Saccharomyces cerevisiae S288C: one gene and its partner. The protein of the gene in region 2 interacts with the protein of the main gene of each other region in a biochemical or structural test. Each region holds a gene or a part of one and is shown on either strand. Other genes may lie near its edges.

Evidence for each region.
Region 1: of the proteins of ECM21 (region 2) and GID10, one has a biochemical effect on the other in vitro, tested with the Saccharomyces cerevisiae proteins (one study listed by BioGRID).

Annotation. Positions count from the first base shown.
Region 1 is NC_001139.9:617,547-625,093, forward strand, and holds GID10 (Gid10p), read right to left. Parts: upstream 4,254-7,547; coding exon 3,375-4,253; downstream 1-3,374. Other genes in the region: transcription elongation factor SPT4, read right to left, coding at 1-278; VHT1 (Vht1p), read right to left, coding at 531-2,312; YGR067C (uncharacterized protein), read right to left, coding at 4,826-7,240. UniProt on the Saccharomyces cerevisiae protein: Substrate-recognition component of the GID E3 ligase complex recruiting N termini and catalyzing ubiquitination of proteins targeted for degradation.
Region 2 is NC_001134.8:22,053-32,004, reverse strand, and holds ECM21 (Ecm21p), read left to right. Parts: upstream 1-3,705; coding exon 3,706-7,059; downstream 7,060-9,952. Other genes in the region: YBL100W-A (gag protein), read right to left, coding at 754-2,070; YBL100W-C (uncharacterized protein), read right to left, coding at 3,459-3,578; SFT2 (Sft2p), read right to left, coding at 7,260-7,907; RTG3 (Rtg3p), read left to right, coding at 8,469-9,929. UniProt on the Saccharomyces cerevisiae protein: May be involved in cell wall organization and biogenesis.

The DNA of each region.
Region 1 (7,547 bases), on a different chromosome or scaffold from region 2:
TAGTGAGGCAACAGCTCCACAACCTCAGCTGGTAGTCTACCATCGACCTTGATGGCGTACATACCAGCTATACTATGATCTACGCTCAGCCACTTTGCTACCCACGACTTAGTAGGCTTACACATTCCTACGAGGCCCTCGAAAGAAGGCGACGTACATTCCATTGTAGAAACACCTGCCTCTTCAAAAATACCCTGACAGTTGGGACAACCATCTCTATTAAACTCATTTGTGGTCTGCACTATGCCACACAGCATACAGGCTCTTTCACTAGACATCTCTTACACTGTACCTCGTTCGCTTTTGCCAAACTGAATGTGGCCAGGTGTAATTATTACACAGTACATCCTTCGAGCCCTTTCTTAAATTTCACTTTTTCACTCGATTTCACTCATAGAACGTATAAGGTGACCTTTATCAACATCGAGATTAATTATAGATAGAAGATGATTAAATTATATACATGAATATATTTATTTGAGGTATGGTGTCTAAAGCGTAATATACCTATCTACTTCACGTAAATTGGACTACGAGGACCGCTTTAAATAGTAGTAACCATCTCTTTCCTCCATATTTTTCTTTACAAATTCTGGAAGCTCTTCACCCTTATTACTATCATACAAGATGATACCATTACCTAGAGCATGTTTCTTTTCGTTTCTCTTGTAAAAAAAAAGTACAACAAACGTCCATAAACCGTAAATAGCACCAAAAATTAAGCTCACGGTGTAACCAGTCTTAAAACGTGGTGACTCCACGGTAGGCCACGCCAAGGTAGGAATCCAGGCGTAAGTGGATTGAGAGAAGGAATAAATGGCGATCCATGTAATAGCCTTCACCTGAGGATCAAACCTTAAGAAGTCATTAATAAACGACCATAGACAAGGCGATGCGGCCACACTGAAATACGTGGTGAAGAAAGCGTACCATTTAGCTTTCGAAGGAATATCCCACTTGATAAGTAAGGCACAAGAAACGGTATTCATTATAGCAGCAAAAACCATGAATATCCACTTACATCTAAATAAATCGGCACCAAAGGCACAAAAAATCACATACGCAAATCCTAAACATGCGGGTATAACACTCAGGTTGTTCACTTGGGCAATGGAGTACTTTGTATTAGACTTTAACCACAAAGTATATGAACCACTATACGCAGTCATGTTATTCCACGAACATGTATCAAAAACAACAAGTACCCAGAATGCTGGAGTACAAAATACTTTCTTCCAAAGTTTTCTGCTCCATAATGGGGCTAGCTTACTTTTATCAACACCATCTTTGATTTGGTTCCTCTTATTTCTGGCCCTTGCAATTCGTATTTCTTCGTCAGTCAGAAATAAAGAGTAACACTTAGATGGTACACCGGGAATAACAAAAAAACCAATAATAGCCGTGGGAAGAGAAATTGCAATGGCATCGATCAGAAACATCCATCTCCAGCCTGCTAGACCATGGACGCCGTTCAAACTTTTGAATATGCGACTTTGCAGAAGTCCTGAAGTCACGGAACCCAATTGTTGCCCACAAAAGAATAAACAGACTCTTGAATTAATTTCATCTGGGGCATACCAACAACCTAGTATATATTGGGACACTGGGTAGTAAGCAGCGCCAAAGGCACTTAAAATAAATCTGTAAGCCCTTAGTTCGGCTAGTGAGTTTGCCCTATAACATGCAAATGTGAACCAAGTCCAGCCCAAGTCCATTACAGGCAAAATAATATGAGAGGGAAATCTTGGTAACAAATACATAAATGGTAATTGGAAGACAATGGCACCAACATTAGCAATAGTAGAAGTGTAAACGTAATCATTACCTTTCATGTTTAAATCTTCCTTCATATTGGAAACATATGCGTTAGTGTAGTTATTCAAATCCACTGACTTGGACCAACATAACATAAAAAAGTATAAAGCAATAATAATGTCTAGCTTGTAAAGAAGCCGTCTTTCAGCCTTGGTTTGAGTAGTATGATTAGGATACAAAAACTCGTACCACTTACGTGATTTCTTGTATTCCTTATTAACACGATACTCGAATTCATCAAAATATTTCCACCATTTACGCCCAGCTTCATCTCTCACTTCATATGGCAAGTCATGCCTTAAATTGTGAGGATGAGGTTCTACAGCTGTAGTTTCTGCCGTAACGTCTGTCTTCGAGGACTTATCTACGCTATGATGTAGCTCCTCTTCAGCTATGATACTGGAGTTAGTATCGTCTGAGTATAAGTACTGATCATCTTCGGGTAGTTTTCTCAAATGTGGGAAGTAGCTCCTCCACGATTTATTCGAAATTGTCATTATCTATTGATTTGTGTCGGTCCTTTTTTGAAAATTGAAACAAATGAAAAGGCGATTGCTCGTGGGTGTAGAGCCTTTATATATAGTTATGTTATAGCCGTAAGAGTCATGCAGATTTTTGGGAATGGCTATCATCAAACTTAGCCTTGCATCTCATATTTCGACTTTTTTTTTCATTTCACACATTTTTTTTTCCTTTCACAGTTGGGTGAAAGAGTCTCGGAGGCGGTACGGCGCTTTCTGTGTAAATCATCCTAAAGTGATTCATAATCTCAGAGCCATTTCGGGTGAACTAATGATGATTTTCTAGTAGACTACGGCAGTATCTTAGCTGACGCAATTGTAGCAATGGAGGCAATCATGTTAGTAAAGGACATTTTAGTTGTAGGAGCATAGGATCGACAGGCCATGTGAAAGGCGTACTAGCAAAGATTGAAGTAATGAGAATAATTGACGATGATTTTAATTTGAGCTTTTCAATGCAGCCGAATTCAGCAGTAGTTGCAGAACCGGACTAACACTTGAAAAAATCCCACGAGCCAGCTGCCGTCTAAGGATATTGTAATAAAGTTGGGCTTAAACTAAAGTTTTTATATCTTGGTTGTAAGGTTGTAATCATTCGTCTCAAGAAGAACGTTGAGTAATCATTAGTCCTCCGCATAAGTAGGTTGCCAATAACTTGTTCAGCAATGATGGTTGCAGCATATCCTCGCTAACGTTTTACTTACCAAATATTTTTTGCTGGTGATTAAGAAAGCTTCTACCATAAGAACACTATGTCAATTTAAAGCAATAATGTTTTCCTGAGTGTTCTTGAGCCTCTGTAAACGAATCATCAATTCAAGTATTTTTATTTTATTGCAAGGATATCGCCAACTAATTATTAACCGGCACTAATGATAGAAATGTTTTTATTTCGAACTACAAAAAGGGCATACATGACGTGGATATATGTAAAGGGTTACTAGTTTACTTATTGATGTAATATCAAGAACAATGTGCTTTTAAAAGAGACATGGTTGACGAGTAAACAAACATACATTGGTAATTCTATAAGGGTCTTTAGGCAATTTCAAATCCACTTGAGTAGGTGTTCAATGCGTCGCAGTTGGTTGGAACGAGTTCGAGTTTTTGAAACAATTCACAAGCGGGATGATAGTAGTAGCCTTCCACTGAACCTGTTAGCTGGTCTAAACACACATAGTAAAATCCCTCAAATGACGCGCCTTCCAGATGATGATTATCGTCCAACATCAGATTTTCTTGTTCCTCATCATCAAGTAGGAACCTTTCCTTCCATTTAAGATAAATATATCGTTGATTCATAAATTCTGCACTTTCATGATTATACTGACCAAAATTTCTTTCCGTTAACGACCAGTTATCAGAACCAAAATGACCAAACCTCTTCCAATGAGAGCAATCACTTTCTCTCTGAGCCATATAAGGGTCGAGCGTCTCCTCAGCGGGCCAATGCAGTGAACATAACGGGAATTGGTTATAATTGATGACATACCCTTCAAAAAGGGTAACAACTTTATCTAGGACTGGTGTTAAATTTTTAATAGTGAAAGTACCTGTGACATGCGGGTCCAAAGAACGCGAATCCTTGTAAAGTGGCAAGTTTACGGTATCAATCTTCACTTCCACCGTATAATACGTGTACTTTGACGATTGCGAACCGCCAAATCTCAATCCTGGCCTCAAAAAATCTAAATGTCTACCAAGGGATCTGTAGGTATATTTAGCATTCTTACCCACTAAATTGGTCCCTTCCTCGTAAACATCACAGTCCTCTTCTTTTGCTTTGAAGTGAGGCAAACGTGTATCAGTTGAGGAGGGTAGAGAGACATAGGCCGAAGTATATATTTCTTCAATGTTGTCATTTCTTTTGGCCCTTTCTAGAATAAACTTTCTTCCCATGATATTCAGTGATGTCATACCTACAGTATATTTTAAATGAAAAGTCTCATAACACAATACGAAAGGATAAAGATAACTCGTCGATGGCCATCATGATTGCCCTTTTTATATGTTTTTATCAAATATTAAACTAAACAACATATACAATTACATCATTTTTCCCTACTTTCTTTTTCTGTAATGGTTCATCGAAGCATTTTTAAGGGTGCCCTGAAGACTATTGTTAAAAAAAGGTACCGCATACATTCGAACCATTACCAGAAAAAAGAGGGGTGAAAAGACATTCTAAATTTTGTTATCGAATGTGAACAGAACACTTAAGAAAACGCCAAGGTTAAGAAGGCCTTGAGAGTATTGATTAAGGCGCATGGAGCACAGGTAAACGCGAAAGACGTTTTGTACTTCCTTTTACTGAGCACCTCTTACATGTAGTAGTAACCATCGCAGCGGAATAAGCACACAAAAAATGGTATTTACTTTTAGGCAAACTTGTGGGAAGTATTAAAATTATTATGTAGATTTATGTATATCGTTTGTGGTTGTATTAAACTTTAATGTTATTAGTGTTGTTAACAACATTTCTTTGGCCATTATTTTATTTGGCTAAAAATTTCAATGTTTTTACTTTGTTTATTGTCAGTTGAAGAAGCTGAGAATTCTTGTGATTCCATGTTTACCTGGGGTGGGACCACTATTGTTTGGACTAAATTGATATTGTTTCCTGTTGCCCTTAACAATGGTTGTTCCTTCTCTTGTTGCTTAGGGGCCGAGTTCACGTAGGTGTAATTACTCGTTGAGATAGGTTCAATGGCTTTTATATCTAATGGGGGCAGGAGAATCTTATTACAGTTTGAATCTCTCTTTAGGAAATTAGGAGAGAGTGGCAAACATGATGCTACTGAAAACGATTTCATATCAGAAGCACCAGATAAAGAACCTCTTGAAGTCTTGCGAAACGGCTGTTGAAGAGCAAAACAAGACCAATTAGAGATATCAGTCAACAATGCTTTCGTCTGGTCATTCAGGTGAGGGGAGTAGATTAAGTATGGGTAAAGAATATTATCTCTTAATGAAGATACAATAGCATGCAGTAGTATATGGTAAGCAATGAAGGAATCTGACCAAAAATCGAACAAAATGGAGTGTAAGTCTGTCACCAAGTTCTTTTGGTGTGTTATAATGTAGTCATTCACAAACACTTCAACCTTCTCAAATTCCTCTTTCTCTGTTGATGAAAGGTAGCTCTGACGTTGTACATAAATGGTATCGAACCAGAAATATAACATTAGGTGAACATTGGGGTTTACTAGTAATTGAGATACTTGTGATGGTGAAACATCCGAGCTTGCAATTAACTCCGATGAAAACAATTTTAGTTGGAAGCTGACAATGTCGGTAATTAACTGAATATTCCTTGGGTTTAAAGATGCCAGCGTGAAAGACTTCAAATTAAGAAGCATTGATATGATTGATAAGTTCGTGGTGATCAAGGTTTCATCAACAAATGAGGAAGAATGATGAAGTAAGCACGAGGTCGATACCTGTGGAAAGTTATCAATGAACCATATGTTCCTTGTGGTCCCATTTCTCAAAGTCAAGTTGTTGATGAATTCGAACCAAATCGTTTCCCACAATAACCAGTTACTTTTCGATTTGCAGTCCGTAATCCTGGCGTTCATAACGTTCGCAAATAAAGAGGGGTTTGCACTAGTTTCAGGTTTGATCGGCTGCTGCATTACGAAACATTCATTCAAGTAAACCAGCAAATCATGCACTCTAAAATCAGATGGCAGCTCTTGCGGATAAGTCTTCTTTATTATAAAATACACGTACGCGGAATCTGCCAAAATATTGATATGCTTTAAAGTTAAGTCAGTAGTGGACATTGACGGTCCCTTGTATATGAAGTCCTTAAGTGGATTAGACGAAATAAACTCTTGATTGACGAACCAACCAAATATTAGTAAAGAATCGTTGTTGAAGTTGTTTGAATCGCGCAAGATATTGACCCATAGATCGAATATGAACCATGCATTTTCCTTACTATTCAAATAATGGTAACTGGAGGATGCCACGGTGAATGGCTTCAGAATATCTTGAAGCATTGAAAACACATCGAACTTTTTAATGGAATTAGAAACAGGAATGTTATTCTCCAACATTACTAGAAGAGAATAAAATAGAATCAAGGCAAAAACATCATGTTGCTCTGTCTGTGACAAAATGTCCTCAGTGTCAAAGTCATTGTCATGTTTAGATGAGCTAGCATACAAATTCGTACAACAGATAAACCATAGTTTTTGAGAATCTTGATTTAACGAAATGGACATACCCAGACAAGCTATTATGAGACCAAAAGGCTTGTTAATCCAAAAACTTTCCACCAGCTCGTCATTTTGTAGTGATGAGAACAGGTCTGGAAAGAAATTTTGGAAGATCTTATTTTCTACCAAGTGGCTTACACCCATTCTGAAGAAAGTTAGAATATCTCTTGAGCTAATAAAATCTAATGAATATTCTTGCAAAATTTTTACACTGATGGAGGACTCCAACCGGCTTTTAACCTGCTTAAAGCGGCTTTTCCCTTTCTTTAAACTAGAGGACTCCTTCCCAATCACACAACGTTGCTGCTTATCCATTTTTTCAACATTACTACTATGATAGTGAATATTGATAAGGCCGCTGTTGACCTTAATCATCGAATTAACGAGTGTTTCCATTTTGATATCTCTGGGTGAAGTCGAATCAACGTCACCAACGCCAAGTGATACAGGGATATCAGCCTTATCGCCTGTCATTGACGCGTAACTGGATAAGAGGAAGGTTCTGTGGACAGTCCTGATGTGTCGCTGTAAGAGATCGCGTCTAACAAAAGAGTGTTTACAGACTTGGCACTGGAAAGGCTTCACGCCCGCATGAGACCTTTCATGCCTTATCTTGTGCTCGGATCTCGAGAAAGGCTTCAAACAAAAGGAACATATATATTTTTTTTGACCCGCAGCCATAGCAGTGATAATGCAAATACAATTACTGTATATCAACAATTGTCTTCTCCCGAGAGAAGGTTTTAAATAAAAGCGACAAGTAAAGCTCTTAAGCCATGCCAACTGGCATGAAGAAGAACCGAAAAAGAAGAAATAGAAAGCAGAAAAATGTAAAACTAAACTTTATAAGTACTTTGAAGATGCGTTCTATATAAATATGTGGGGTTAAGTGAACATGACTCGAAATCTATAATGCAGCGATTACGATAAGTATCCACATTAAACGTCAATTATTTTGCGTTGTAAGCATATGCGCGGGGGAGGGGGC
Region 2 (9,952 bases):
TTCTCATCTGTAAACGATATAAAGTAAGAAGGTGCACTTTTCGGTAAGTGATGTACAGGACCAAATATATCGGTATGCAAGTACTGAAAAGGCTCATATGATTCTTGGTACTTTAGTCGTGATCCTTTGACATGCCTATGTTTCGTGCTTTTGCCGATTAGACAGTCAGGACATTGATATGTGCTAGCGTTAGACCATTCAATATCCGATTCTTTCAAATATGTAACTGCATTCTTCTTAAGAGACTTCTGAATACTTCGGAAGTTAGCATGTCCAAGCATTCGATGTATTAACGGATATGGATATTTATTTACGCTTTTGCTTTTGTTGACGTTGTTTATTGTTAGCTTTGAAATGTGCGAAGGAATTAGGTATTTTTTAGATAACCAGTAAAAGTCTCCATGTTTGACTATGGGAGCTAGTACTGTACCATCCGATCTTTCTAAAGTGTTTCTGGTAAAGCAGGCAGTAATATTTTGATTAGCCAGCTCACTCAAACTTAATAGATCATAGGCTATGTTTGGTGTGTGCAGTGCTTTTATTGATGTTTTGGTGCCGTTCTGAAAGTTGAAGTGAAGATTACCAATGGCATTTATAGGAATGTCTTGTTTTTGAGCATCGACTATGTTTATTTCAGAATTGGGTGTTGCATGGTGTAAATAATGGGCTGATCTGACAAGCGTTTGCGAAGCTCCTGAATCAATAAGAAGGTGATCAGGTAGTTCGTCATTCGAGTCTATTGTGTGTGTTGGCTTAGATTCTTTCTGTTGCTGGCCTAAGACTAAGTTCGTTGTCATCGCTTAAGTATTGTGATGAAACGGTTGATTCATTAATGTGATCATTGTTCACCCTTGAGAATTTACTAGATGTAGCAATATTGTGAGCTTTTGCTGCTCTTGGTTTTGAACTATTTGTTCTATGATAATTACGAGTTGTAACCTTTGTGTTAGTCGTGTTTGGAGATGTGCGAGAAACATTTTTGTATTCGCTGTGTTGTTTGTATTGGGACGGTTTATTTAGATTCATGATTTTATTTTCGTCATATATTAATTGAATTTCAGCGAATAATTGGGAAAGTTTCATGTTCGTTTTGGTACGATATTGATTACGTAGGTATTTGAAGTCACCGGATAGACCTTTAAGTATTAGTTGACAGGCCAATCTGTCGCTAACATTGATATTGTTTTCTTTTAGCCTTTGAATGATCGTGCTGACCGTAATTTCAAATGTATCAGCAGATGTACTTCCGTCGTACTCAAGGTTGGCAAGAGCTATCCAATCCTTTAATTCTTGATTGTTAGTTTGCATTTTGGACACACTTTTACAAAGGACTGTAAGGATGTCAGCATAATTAATTTCTAAAATTTGTTTTACCCATGTTGGCAATAAATGAAATGGGGCAAATGCTTGGAAGGTATTGTATATATACGCATGTTCTTCATAAGTCATTTGTCTTTTGATTTCACCCTGATCATTTGGAATGATGTCACCGAGATTAGAGTTCTTCAAAAATCTGATGTAAAATTTAACCCATGTATAAAAGTTTTCTTCTGATGTTAAAGTGTGTGGTGGTAAGACATTATTTCTCACCTTTGTCTTAGCTTGAGGTACTTCAGAGTGTTGATCCTGTGAATCGATTGGATCAGGTGAGGAAGTACTCAGCGGTGGGATATACTGTGGCAGCGGATAGTGTGGGTCCGGTTGATAATACGCAGGTGACGTTTGATAATGTGAACACGTCATCATAGATGGTTGTTGGTAATGTGCCCAGTTAGAAGCCATAGCTTTGTTTGGAGTCATCATGCCGTGCTGTTGGTACTGTCCATTCTGTGGAGGTGGTACTGAAGCAGGTTGAGGAGAGACATGATGATGGTTCTCTGGAACAGCTGATGTCCCAGGTGTTGTCTCTTGTTGAGAATTAACCTTAGTGGAATCTCTATCAAATTCCGGTAAATTGGAAGCTGAAACGGCTAACGGATCTTGATTTGATGAGACTTCCTTAGAAGTAACCGAAGCATAGGCGCTACCATGTAGAGAATGTGGATTTTGATGTAATTGTTGGGATTCCATTGTGATTAAGGCTATAATATTAGGTATGTAGATATACTAGAAGTTCTCCTCAAGGATTTAGGAATCCATGAAAGGGAATCTGCAATTCTACACAATTCTATAAATATTATTATCATCATTTTATATGTTAATATTCATTGATCCTATTACATTATCAATCCTTGCGTTTCAGCTTCCACTAATTTAGATGACTATTTCTCATCATTTGTGTCATCTTCTAACACCGTATATGATAATATACTAGTAACGTAAATACTAGTTAGTAGATGATAGTTGATTTTTATTCCAACAATTATATGTGCTTGTATTCAGCTCTTTATTGAGTTTGATCACTGTTTCTCAATCTTCATGTCATTCTCTTCCACCTTACGTGATTGAATACTAGTATCACGAATACTAGTCAGTAGATGATGTTGCTTCTTATTCCAACAGATATTCGAAGGACACAGGATATTACCCTAACAATATTTTAACTACGCGTGACTTTATTGAAGTTGTTTATATATCATTCATACTACACTTTTGATTTGAGCGCTTTTACCTCGCAGTTTCGTTCATCGCATCGGCTGCTAAATGACAATAGGGTGTTTTAACAATGAAGACCAAAAATAAGGCCTCATCCAGAACAAGATAACGTCAAGCGGCGCATCAAGTGTACGCTTTGGTATGCAAGAAAAGAACACCTTAAAAAACCATCGAGGCAGGCTCGCAAAGTTCGGAATTTGTACTGTACATATTCCCATTTCTTAGCCGCCCAGCCGCAAGCAGTCACTCAGCGCTGATCCTAGCTGATTGATGAGTAAACCAAGACCAGTGCCAAGTCATAACTTTTACGGACATATATAACAAAAATTGGTCAACTTTCTTGATATTTTTACTATTAGTCTCTTTTTCTTCTACGTGGTTCTGATATCAAGTTTGTTAGACCAAATTATAAAAAAGATAGAGTGACCGTAACTTTTTCTCGCCCTCCAGAACAAAGCGGTTTCACAATAGAAATACTAACAACCCATCCATGCGGATTTCTCATCTGGGTGCGCTAGCGATATCAAACGTTATATTCCCGAAACAGTAATATTCCCTTGGAATTTTTTAAACGTTCAAATTACATTCAAATCACCAAGTGTTTAATTGTAAATTTATTATTTCGACAGTCCATGCGTCAATATCATTTTCGCAAGCACAGACTCCACGGAACCTTAATTTTACGTACACCATATTGCCGCAAAAAAAAAAAAAGAGCATCTTGATTACATTACCGAGTATCTCTTGTTACATCGCTACATCGTTTACACCACATCAGTTCTTTGCTTTATATACAGTTTTCTACCGATCTTGCGGTATATCACTCACACTCGATTCACAGGATCTGTAGATATCCATTGGTCTTAATTTTTCCAATCTCTGATCTGACTCTTCCAAGGGTTCTCCACTTTCCCGCCTATATTTCTAATTTTGTTAAGAGGGGACAAAAAAAGGGACGAGAAAAAAAAAATAGAACGACTCATTATTATTGCTCGGAAGGTCTGTCTTAGCTCTGAGATAAGCCACGTTTATATTTTTGAAGGTCCATCGGAAAGGTGACTCTTTTAAATAGAGAAGAACAAGCAAGATTTTTCCCTACCCCTATTGGGCATGCCGTTTATAACATCAAGACCGGTGGCGAAAAATTCATCCCACTCTTTATCAGAAACAGATTTAAACCAGTCTAAAGGACAGCCGTTTCAACCCTCTCCCACCAAGAAATTAGGGTCCATGCAACAACGAAGAAGATCCTCCACCATTAGGCACGCGCTATCATCTTTACTTGGTGGCGCTAATGTTCACTCACCTGCCGTCTTGAACAACACAACGAAAGGCGGCAATAATAACGGCAACATCAGAAGCAGCAATACAGACGCCCAACTCCTTGGCAAAAAACAGAACAAACAGCCGCCGCCAAACGCAAGGCGACACAGTACCACTGCCATACAGGGCTCTATCAGCGATAGTGCTACTACGACTCCGAGATCCTCGACTTCCGACACCAACCGTCGCACTTCGGGAAGATTGTCGGTAGACCAAGAGCCCAGAATCTCTGGGGGACGCTATTCACAGATTGAGGAGGATAGCACAGTACTAGATTTTGATGATGACCATAACTCATCAGCTGTAGTGTCAAGCGATTTATCATCAACTTCTCTAACAAGGTTGGCAAACTCGAAAAAGTTTAACGAGCAATTTCTCATAGAATATTTAACCGCTAGAGGTCTCCTGGGCCCAAAAACCGTTCTATCCAATGAGTACTTGAAGATTTCTATTTCTACAAGCGGTGAAAGCGTTTTCTTACCAACGATATCCTCGAATGACGATGAGTACCTGTCCAGACTAAACGGACTCAATGATGGTACGGACGATGCTGAGGCGGATTTTTTTATGGATGGTATAGACCAGCAAGAAGGTAACACTCCATCTCTCGCTACAACGGCAGCGGCTACCGAAAGTGGTGGCAGCATAAATGAAAATAGAGACACACTCCTGAGAGAAAATAATTCAGGAGACCATCCAGGCTCCGGCTCGGAACTTAATACAAGGTCTGTTGAAATCGACAGTTCCATGGTCTCTTACAGCATAGCAGTTATAGTATCCGTTAAAAAACCAACCCGATTTACGGACATGCAATTGGAATTATGTTCAAGGGTTAAAGTGTTTTGGAATACAGGTGTTCCTCCTACAAAGACGTTTAATGAAGAATTTTATAATGCTGCATCAATGAAATGGAATTTGAATGATGAAAACTTCGATTTGTTTGTACCATTAAGCATATCCCCAGATGATCAAATGATTGAAAACAACTCCAACGATCGTCAAATGAGGTTGTTCAAGAATATTCCTACAGAGGAGAGACTGTATTTGGACAAGACTAAAACAAAAGCCAGCCTTTTAAACGCCATAGACGTAAATAAGACTCATCTTTACCAACCTGGAGACTATGTATTCTTAGTACCAGTGGTTTTCTCTAATCATATTCCGGAGACTATCTATTTACCCTCTGCACGTGTTAGTTACAGACTAAGGCTTGCAACAAAGGCAATCAATAGAAAGGGTTTCTATCGTCAAGATTCAAACTCTCCGCAACCTATTGTGTCGCCAGACTCTTCTTCATCACTAAGCTCCACTACATCTTCATTAAAACTTACCGAAACAGAATCCGCTCAGGCCCATAGGAGGATAAGCAACACTTTGTTTAGTAAAGTTAAAAATCATCTACACATGAGCTCACATCAACTGAAAAATGAAGAATCAGGAGAAGAGGACATTTTCGCAGAGTATCCAATAAAAGTTATTAGAACTCCACCGCCCGTTGCCGTATCCACTGCGAATAAACCAATCTATATTAATAGGGTTTGGACAGATTCTTTGTCATACGAGATTTCCTTTGCTCAGAAATACGTTTCACTAAACAGTGAAGTCCCAATCAAGATAAAATTGGCACCGATATGCAAAAACGTTTGTGTTAAACGTATTCATGTCAGTATTACTGAAAGAGTCACATTTGTTAGTAAAGGTTATGAATATGAGTATGATCAAACAGATCCCGTTGCTAAAGACCCTTATAATCCGTATTATTTAGATTTCGCCTCCAAGAGAAGAAAGGAAAGAAGTGTATCATTATTTGAAATCAGAACTAAGGAGAAGGGCACGAGAGCTCTAAGGGAGGAAATTGTTGAAAATTCATTCAATGACAATCTCTTATCTTATAGTCCTTTTGATGACGACAGCGATTCAAAAGGCAATCCGAAAGAAAGGCTCGGTATAACGGAACCAATAATTATTGAAACAAAATTGAAGTTCCCCAAATACGAAGATTTGGATAAAAGAACCGCAAAGATAATACCACCTTATGGTATCGATGCATACACGAGCATCCCCAATCCCGAACATGCCGTAGCCAATGGACCCTCACACCGTCGTCCCAGTGTAATAGGCTTTTTATCCGGTCATAAAGGCTCGAAAAGTCATGAAGAAAATGAAAAACCTGTTTATGATCCAAAATTCCATCAAACAATAATCAAATCCAATTCTGGTTTGCCCGTGAAAACACATACCAGATTAAACACACCGAAAAGAGGCTTGTACTTGGATAGTTTACACTTCAGTAATGTTTACTGTAGACATAAGCTGGAAATTATGCTACGAATCAGTAAACCTGATCCTGAGTGTCCGTCCAAATTAAGACATTATGAGGTTCTAATCGATACGCCCATATTCCTGGTGTCTGAACAGTGCAACAGTGGTAATATGGAGTTACCCACTTATGATATGGCCACAATGGAAGGCAAAGGCAACCAGGTTCCTCTAAGTATGAACAGCGACTTTTTTGGTAACACATGTCCACCTCCGCCAACTTTTGAAGAAGCCATATCCGTTCCAGCTTCTCCCATTGTCTCACCGATGGGATCACCTAATATCATGGCCTCGTATGACCCTGATTTACTATCTATTCAACAATTGAACTTATCAAGAACTACGTCAGTTAGTGGGCCATCCGGATACAGCGATGATGCCGGTGTGCCAAATGTTAATCGGAACAGTATTTCAAATGCCAATGCCATGAACGGCAGTATTTCGAATTCCGCATTTGTTTCGGGCAATAGTGGCCAAGGTGTTGCTAGAGCAAGAGCAACGTCAGTGAATGACAGGTCAAGATTCAATAATCTCGATAAATTATTGAGCACTCCATCGCCCGTCAATAGATCTCACAATTCATCACCAACAAATGGCTTATCACAAGCAAATGGTACTGTGAGGATTCCAAACGCTACCACTGAAAACTCTAAGGACAAACAGAACGAATTTTTCAAAAAGGGTTACACTTTAGCGAATGTAAAAGATGATGAAGAACAAGAAGGAATAGTAAGTTCGAGCTCCGCAGATTCGCTACTCTCTCATGGTAACGAGCCTCCGCGTTATGACGAAATAGTGCCTTTGATGAGTGATGAAGAATGAATTTTTTCGTTTTTTATTTTTTTTTGAATTATTCTACGATAATTATATATATAGAGCCACTGCATGTTTTACTCCCTTTTTGTTGACTACATGCTATTTAATTAGGTTAGGTTATAAATCTCTTTATTATTGTTTCTTATAACATAAACATTATTTTTCTTCTTCAACTAATCAATTCAATATGCACTATGAATGATAATTCAGATGCGCAGAACACCTCTTGCCGAATTGACACCAGCAGAGCTTAACATCCTCAAACCTGTTGCACCGAATGGGAAATATGAAATAGCATAATAAATGACGGCAACTAATTCAAGAAGAGCACATGTAATAGTCAGCACCGTGTTCTTGGAAAAGGCTGCGAAATAAATCGTCATGAAGCATGTGGCGAAAAAGAACATCGAAAAAGGCAGCCTTTCCCTTGCAGTCAAATGTTTTAAGTACGCGAGTGGTCCCATAAGTACCCCAAACGCAAGAACAAATAGTAGGGACCCCATTGTCCATAGTAAACCAAACTTTCTTGGTTTAGCGGCTAGAACGGGGAAAAGGAAAGTACAAAGAGTGAAACAGGCTGTTGCACCCAAAAGAAAACAGACAAAAAGTACCATTCTTTCCGTTCTTGACAATTGGAACCACGACGGCTCCTGGTCTTGCACCAAGTCCTGTCTAGATACAGGCAACGTCTGATATATATCCTGGGCCCTGGTATTGAGAGAATCCGCCCAGCTTGAGAACAATGTCTTCGCAGATTCATTAAAACCCTGCGAGTTCTGCTGTCTTGTTTGATTCCATCGATTCAATGAGTCACGGAGACTATTGACCTGGTCAGAAGGTGGTTCCTCGCTCATATTCTCCACACTTGTTCTTTTTTTTTACCAGCAAAAAAAAAAAACGCAACTGCAGACAATACAGGTAATCTAAGTCCTACTCTAAACTACCGAACGCAATTAGAATGCAAATTTATTCAATCTTCTTCCTATTTCAGTATAGTACAAGTCTTGACCAATACTCCCTCTTCATTACAATCGCCTTTTGCCGGGTCACGATTGCGGGCCGTTCCGCGGGATGTGACTCTTCGCAAGTTACTTTTGAAATAATAAAGCCATGGTGATTAGAAAAGCCTTCTTATGAGCAACAGAAACTAACAATTGTACTACTCGGTCCGGACAGTAGGATCTCCAATATTACTGCAGGTTAGTACATTATTTTTTACTCGCAGTTGCTATTTTGGCTAGAGGCTGCACGGAATCATCAAGGAATTTTTCACAATCCGAATTTCTGTCTTACGTGAGCATATATAAGATAACAAAAACGACATTACTGCATTCACATTACTTAGTTGACAAGTATCCTTTAATAGAATACTCTTATTTTTTGTCAGGCGAACCTACTTCTTAAATAAGTGAAGAATGATGAACAATAACGAAAGTGAGGCTGAGAACCAACGTCTACTGGACGAATTAATGAACCAGACAAAAGTCCTCCAGGAAACTTTAGATTTTTCGTTAGTGACACCCACTCCACACCACAATGATGATTACAAGATACACGGAAGTGCCTACCCAGGTGGTGAGACTCCTGCCCAACAGCATGAAAAACTCTCATACATCAATACGCACAACTCTAACGATAATAATAACTTAATGGGCAGTCAAGCGAGGTCCAATTCACAAACTCCTACAGCTTCGACCATATATGAGGAAGCAGAATCGCAATCGTCTTACCTGGATGATATGTTTAGAACAAGCCAAGGCGGTAGACCTGTCACTCAAAATTCCATATCTTCCATAGGGCAGGGTCCCTTGAGATCATCTTATTCTATGGCTTACGACTCACCTGTGGATAGAGCAATGAATACTCCATTACAGCAACAAGAAGGCTTAAAAGCTGAGTTACCACATGACTTTTTATTTCAGCATGGCACCGATGACACAATGTATAACTTAACTGATGATTTGAGCTCCTCTTTATCTTCTAGCATCAATTCTGATATGATGACACCAAACACATATTCATCATCATTTTCTTATAATCCACAAAGCTTGGGCCCAGCATCCGTATCTTCCACATATTCCCCAAAGGTAAGATCACCATCATCGTCATTTCGTGCAGGAAGTTTCCTTTCATCTTCTTTTAGGCATGGTAGCATAAACACACCCAGAACAAGACACACTTCAATAAGTAGCAATATGACTGAAAATATAGGACCTGGAAGTGTTCCAAAGATTTTAGGCGGGTTAACTTCTGATGAGAAACTGAGGCGCAAAAGAGAGTTTCATAATGCCGTCGAAAGGAGAAGAAGAGAATTAATAAAGCAAAAGATAAAAGAACTCGGCCAGTTGGTTCCACCATCTTTATTGAATTACGATGACCTAGGTAAACAAATCAAACCAAATAAGGGTATCATTTTGGATAGAACGGTCGAATATTTACAATACCTGGCCGAAATTTTAGAAATACAAGCACGAAAAAAGAAGGCGTTATTGGCGAAGATAAAAGAATTGGAAGAGAAGAAAAGTTCTGTCGCAGCATTATCTCCTTTTACCAATAACCACCATGCCAGTTCGGGGCAAAATAATAGCGAGAATAGTGAGGAAAGAATTATAGATATTAGATCTGTCCCAAATGCTTTGATGAATGAACAAAATAGTAAGGCTGAATTGCACAATTGGGAGCCACCGTTATATGATTCGGTCGGTAACCACAATCATGCTGGCACTATGGAGAGTCATCCACATACAAACATTCATGAAGAATTAAAGGAGTTCTTATCAGGCGATTTGATTGAAGCCGAAGATAATGCAAAATTAATGTTTGGAGATGACAACTCTAATCCAGCTGACTATCTTTTAGAATTTGGTTCGGGGTAGTTTATGGTCTTATTAGCGGGAAA